Xenopus tropicalis: one gene and its partner. The protein of the gene in region 2 binds, or shares a complex with, the protein of the main gene of each other region. Links are inferred from orthologs where the notes say so. Each region holds a gene or a part of one and is shown on either strand. Other genes may lie near its edges.

What was found. The genes of interacting proteins can lie anywhere in the genome.
Region 1: the proteins of topbp1 (region 2) and brip1 are in contact, whole or in part, in a crystal structure (PDB 3AL3), measured with the Homo sapiens proteins. The link is inferred for Xenopus tropicalis from reciprocal best matches to the Homo sapiens genes TOPBP1 and BRIP1. Residues at the interface, in NP_008958.2 of Homo sapiens: Leu1272, Ser1273, Ser1274, Leu1275, Asn1276, Pro1277, Arg1280, Gln1298, His1311, Leu1313, Arg1314, Asn1315, Glu1316, Lys1317, Leu1319, Gln1366, Arg1407, Gly1410, Phe1411, Leu1414, Thr1466, Glu1467, Ile1469, Ala1470; in NP_114432.2 of Homo sapiens: Ser1129, Tyr1131, Phe1132, Thr1133, Pro1134, Glu1135, Leu1136, Tyr1137, Asp1138.

The regions. Positions count from the first base shown.
Region 1 is NC_030678.2:91,927,116-91,930,067, reverse strand, and holds part of brip1 (Fanconi anemia group J protein), read right to left. Parts: intron 1,681-2,952; coding exon 1,348-1,680; intron 1-1,347. UniProt on the Homo sapiens protein: DNA-dependent ATPase and 5'-3' DNA helicase required for the maintenance of chromosomal stability. Acts late in the Fanconi anemia pathway, after FANCD2 ubiquitination.
Region 2 is NC_030682.2:52,593,992-52,597,564, reverse strand, and holds part of topbp1 (DNA topoisomerase 2-binding protein 1), read right to left. Parts: intron 3,163-3,573; coding exon 2,993-3,162; intron 1,533-2,992; coding exon 1,369-1,532; intron 807-1,368; coding exon 568-806; intron 248-567; coding exon 1-247. UniProt on the Homo sapiens protein: Scaffold protein that acts as a key protein-protein adapter in DNA replication and DNA repair. Composed of multiple BRCT domains, which specifically recognize and bind phosphorylated proteins, bringing proteins together into functional combinations.

The DNA.
Region 1 (2,952 bases), on a different chromosome or scaffold from region 2:
AAAAATCTGAATTCCATTTAATTACATCTTAGCTGGCTCCAAGTAGAAGTTACTGTTTCCTTACTGTAATTATGAATTATTTGATTAAAGTGGCTTTTTCTGTAATTCTGAGATTTCTGGATAATGGATCCCATACCTGTACTTATTTAAAATATACAATTCTAATTAAGGCTAGTGTCACATGTGACTGGCTAAAAAACCTGTGCAGTCATCCACTCTAATAACATAAAAATGCCCACAAGAGGTGACAGTCAAATGATGTCTTAACAGGCAGTGAAAGGCTTATAAAGCCAAGCCACCTGATCTGCCATTAGCTTTAGGCAATAATATTATATATAAATATATATATATATATATATATATATATATATATATATACTCACTGCCTTTGTTATAATGCAGAGGGGCAGTTTGGACATATTACTCTACTAGGGCTTAGTATGATGGACAAATTACTGCATAATATGTTGGCACTATATAAATAATAAGAACTGTTTATTAATAATATTATGTTTTGCATAATGGATTGAGGTGCCAATGCCATTTAAATTTACTGCAAAGCCAGTTTAAAAATAAATCCTCATTCATAACTCACAGTGTTATTAATGATAGCGACACTACAAGATGCTTTTTTTATGGATTGACAAAGTAATTTGAACATGATGCATTGGCCACACTGTCACAATGAATAGCGGCACTTGCTATATCAGCTTAAAGGGGAATTTCACCCAAACATAACTTAAGCTTTTTGAAAAGTAGACATTATTTCAAGCAACTTTGCAATATACCAAAATTAAAAATATGCAGCCTTTTCAGCCTTTTTTAATGTAATAATATGGTTTTGAACAGTTACCTAAGCCCCTGTTCCCCTACTGATCTGGCTTTGAGACTCAAAAAAATCAATGTAACAGTAGTTGACTGTCCTCAACCTCAACCTGCATCCTCCAAATCCCACAATTCCCTGCACATGTGATGTCAGTACAGAACATTGAAGTGCAATGCATTGTGAGTTATGTCATTTCTGCATGCTGTCTGTAAGCTGTGGAGACCTAGTTACAATTTGTAACATCAATGATTTAGTCCCTCCTCCCTTGCCAGGATTTCAATTGATGCAAGAAGAGAAGATCTGTTTTTGCAGCTGGATTTCAGCATATAAAAATAGTATTTATTCATACATTTGAAGAACAGATTATAGTGAAAGGTATACAAGGGGTGTCTGTGTTGTGCCGGGCTCTTAATCAAATTTTGGCTTGGAAGCCAGAGTTCCCCTTTAACTTCCAAATATTGATGAAAATACATGTGCCTCCATTTCAGTTTCACAATAAGCATCTAACACAGTATACTTACTATTATATCTGGGAGCAGTACCAACAAGAGATGCTGGGATTGGACTTAAAGGAATTGCAATCTCCGGAGGTAATGTTGAACTCTGAGTGGAAAAAGTTGGTTGTGTGAATTCACTGACACTTTGTGTAGGATGAACTGTGAATTCCAACAATGAAGATGTCGGAGAGGTATTCTTGGAAGACGACGGTGCTCCCAGGGAAGGTTCCTCATCGCAGGTTGTACTGGATATTTGCATTCTCTGCTGCTGATTTTTTGAGAATTCATTTAATGACTCAAGTGCTCCATTAAAGGTAGAGTGGTGCTGTACAAGCTGCCGCACCCATTTGGATAACCCTATTAAAAGCATTAGACAGTTAAGCAAATGAGGAATGAAATGATAGATTCATAAACTTAAGACAGCTTCCGTAATTACATTTAGCTGCATGAAAGCACTTCATTAAAGACAAAAATATAATCATGAAAAAAAATCTCTATGTCTGTCGCCTCATTCTCTCTCTATATCTATATCTAAATATCTATCAAGCACTACAAGCACTGACACAAGTGTGTGGGGGGGGATAACAGGTCATTACAGGTGCTTAGTTAACCAAAACCAAATTTATGTAATTATTTACAATATGAATAAGTCTTCAGCAAGACCGTTTGTAGCACTGCACAAATACTTATACCAATTGCTATATCCATATAACAGTGTGTGCTTCTTCTGTAACAGGGTACAAGACAAATATACCGCTGTGAGAAAGGCTACTGTAGCTCTATCCATGTCCAAGTTACTGCATTTCTTTACTCACGGTGGAACTTGAGCTCCCCCTGCTGACGTCTAAAGCAAACGACAGCTTTGGTTCAGATTCTTTTTCATTTTTCTTGCTACCCGCCTCACAGCTAAAAGCATTTTGCGCTTAAGGGAAGCAATTTGTTTGCCAATAAGGTTTCAGATACTGATGTATGCTTTTTAAACATCCAAGAAATGCCTCCTATATAACTAGTAACAATAAAGATGATTACTAGAAAAAAGTCTGTCTTTGATATTTTTAAAATGATTCTCCTACTATAATCATATTGCTGGTTTTTAGTAACATTCAGCCAGATATTGTCAGCAAGAGAGGCTTTGGCCATAGCAGTTCCCTTTCCAGTTCAGTTCCAATTAAACAACTCTTCCTTTGCAACTTAACCTTACAATAGGATCTCTTGCTTTTTAATGACAAAAGGCTTTTGAGGTTCAATTTTTACTACTTTTTTGGGGTGTGGCTGGGGATGGTAAAGTGGGAATCAAGTGAATTCATTTTTAAAGAACCCCACCCAAGCAATAGGTGAGACAAATATCTAATAACCAGCTGAATGCATATAATTAGCTGTAACGGCTTCTCAATACTGTGGGACAGTTTTGGATTCAAAACTGCACGTCAGACCATGATAAAAACACACACACACACATATATATATATACACATATATATAAAAAGCGACATAAATGCACATGCGAGCAACATGTTCTGCTTCGAGACATATAGTATTTTGTCTGGAACCTAAAATTTAGCATAACCTGCATAGATATAGATTCAGTTGTGCTGGAATGATAGAATACTATTGTCACTATGTATATTT
Region 2 (3,573 bases):
TCAGCAATGGCTCTTTTCTGAGATGAAAGCACCTTGCCAGCATTCTTTTTTATTATGTCTATGATGCATGCCTCATCTTCCTCCAAAAAGCCCAGCACCAAGAATTGTTTACGGCTGAATAAGCCTCCTTCAATTATGGTGGATGTATCCGCCAAACCACTTTGGCTGGTACAAGATGTCATATCTTCATGCATGCTCATTTGAGAAATACTGTTGGTATTAGAGATTTTAGGATGTTCGTCCTCAACTAGAACAACAGAAAATTATTGTTATAAAAATACATTTTTTGTTCATGCAAAGATGAAAGCAAAACGACTTTATAAATGGCATAAAAATAATTTTGTAAATAATGGGGAAACTGTTCAAGGCACTTTGTAATTAGAGTAATACAGTGTAACAAGTATTTAGTGCAATCCAGTTCAGGGCTATTATGATTAAAATGATTGAAGACAACCACTGCTTGGAAGAACATAATATAATACAGTATAATACATTTAAATCAAGCATGCAAGCAAGGTTAAAGACAGATATCAAATGAACAATAAAATATTTAACTATAATTCTTACTTAAAGTGGAGTTATTTTCTGTGTACTGAGACAGCAGGTCCTCATCTGCCTGTTGGTTGTGAGTGTGGTTTAGAGGCCCTCGTGTACTACTGATCTTTTGAGCAGTTAAATTAAAGGCAGGCTGAACTGGTGAAGAAAGCTCAGTTTGTTGATAGCTTGAATGGGAATATATGTTCTCAGGTTGCAGATGTCCTTTTGAAAAGCTTTCCAGTAGCCATTTTACAGTTAACACATAAGGCCTGCAAACAAATGCATATGTTATTTTTTTATAAATATATATATATTTATATATATATTCCCTAGAATCTAAACAATACAATGTAGTTGATACTGTGACCACTTTTTGCAAAAAGTGATAGGATCACATTTAGAGTTACTCAGATACAGTACACATAAAGCATTGCTGCCATTCACTTTAAGTATAATTGGCAAGCCCTATCAATTTGTAAATGTGCAGACAAAAATAAGGTCCTGAGAGATGCAGAAAGCAGGTGAAGGGCCTCTAGGACATTACAGACAAAAACAAATCAACCTGTAATTAAAGAATTGTTCTATTTATAAGTTGTTTAATTATAAAAAGGATATATTAAGATATAAAGAATTTTGTGTATTATAAAATTACATTAGTACTATACATTTTCACTTTAATGATTTGATTTGGTGATAGACTTTAATTAATATTACTGTTTTTAGTAATAATAATTTCACTGACAAAGGCACAAGTCAACCACAATATTTGACCTGGATGAAATTTCCATTAAGATTTGCAACAGAAAAACAAAAAGATTGTCTTTACTTAACCTGTGTTGAGTTTTGCTCAAAAACTGCTTTAGTTCTTCATCAGTTTCTCCAACAATAATATGGGTTACATCTGCGGTAAGCTGACTAAATCGCACACCCCCACCACTGTTGATTAGCCTTCTCAACTTGTCCAACTTTCTTCCCCCAAACCCGCACAAATATATCTGAAAGAGGGTGAAAATGTAACATTTACATGTAGCTCATGGATAGTTAACTGCCTGCAAAACAGTTGCTAAAGTATGACCCTAGGGTGATTTTTTGGGGAGGCTAACGTTGGCCATACACAGACTGACTTACAGGTAATGTTAGATTTGCGCCGATATAATTGATCCCTAACTACCTCTTGCAGTTCCCACTGACTTTAGTTGGAACAGTGCAGAAGTGCAGGTGGGAGTGCTTTTTTCCAAAAGTACCTTTCAGTTTACCAGCATTAAAATAACTGTATCCTTGCCAGAAAATATTTTCAGATGCTTTCTTGCTCACTGATATAGTACCATAGTAATTAAGGTTGAATAAAAACATACATACATCATGTTCAACATTTTCTCTAAATGAAACCAACCTTCTAATTGATCCAAAGCATCTAGTGAAAGGCAGTGGGCCATTACACAAAAGGCATATTCAATACAGTGAGAGGCAGTGGGTAATGACAGCAGGAACATTAAATCATTAAATAATTGTATGGTGGCTCGACGTGATGGGCAATATCGCAAAGGCTGCCGATATCAGTTGTCGCATTGAATGGACAGGTTAAAAGATTTTGATTGGGCGCCGTTGAAGGACCCCAAGCAATATCTACGTTTAGGGCTGATGGAGGTGACAGGTGGAAGTAGAATTTCTATTGTTTCTCCCTCCATATCGGACGATTCAGCCCTGAACATCAATGGAGGGTGGGAACGATCCTTCCTGCGACCAATGGTCGCACGAAAGATCATTATTGCTACGTGTATGGCCACCTTAACAGCTTGGGGGGAAGTAGAAGCTAATTACCTCCAGTGTCAACAGCAGCAACTTCATAAACAGGAATCCCAGCACTCTAACATGGCTGTACCGAGATTTAAACCAGCAGCATCATGGGATGCTGCTGGTTTAAATCTCGGTACAGCCATGCAGGAATTAGATTGGCTGGAGAGTGCCTCAAAGTTTACCTTCAGCCAATCCAATTCCAGTGATACTGGGACTTAATCTCTCGGGAAGAAACCAGCATCAGGAGTCAATTAAGATGCCTGCATGCAGTGACAGGGGGCAACAAGCCATACATCACCCCTTACTCCGCTAAACATGCATTACACAGTAATCAAGGCAGGGTAATTTGTGTTTTTTTCTGCAATTTTTTTTTTTTAAAGGTGTCAAGGCAGGTTTGGAGAGGCTTAGCCTCCCCCAACATAAATAAAAATCCGCCTGAGTAAGACAACATCCAGAATTGTCACATTAACAAAGTTTATATGTGGTATGGAATGATGGGAGCTTCTGTAGTTAAGTTATGAGGAAAAGTATCCTATGGTTTCACAGTATTTTCAACATTGCCCATGGACCATAAACAGCCTAGATAATAAATGACAAAATTATCTGCTGTATTTCTGATTATTCATGCACTCTAGATGTGCATAGATGTAACACCCACTCGGCAGCCATCAAGAAGGTCTTCTGGAGCTTGTAATGAACTGATATCCAAGTTCTCAAGGGCATCTGCTGGAGGATCCAGTCTGCTGGTCATCACAGAATTAAAAGCCGATTCGTTAACGCAGCTTGTACTTATATTTGAAATTTGGCTGACATCATAAATGGCCCGACCTGTATAAATATATTAAAAATATGTATTAAATGTCAACTTAAAACAGAAACTGCTCAAAACCATTACAGTATGAAAACAAGCCACAAATATAGGGGAATTTCAGATCCTCTTATGAATAAGATTTAATGTTTGTATCTCCTATAATGTTAGACTCAGCCTTTCCTTCTCCTCTAAATGGTATCTAAGTCACTTGGGGGTACCAAAATGTTAGGCACGCCCCTGGACTTAAATCGCTTACCTTTTACCCCGGGCTGGTGCCCCTGTTAGTAGAGAACTGCACCAGGCAACACTCGCTGCAGGTACCCCGGCTGGTGCGGTTTTCTCCTAATAGGAGCGCCAGTCAGGGTAAAAGGTATTTAAAAGTCCCTGGGGAGTGCCTAACATTTTGGCACCCCCAAGTGACTTAGCCT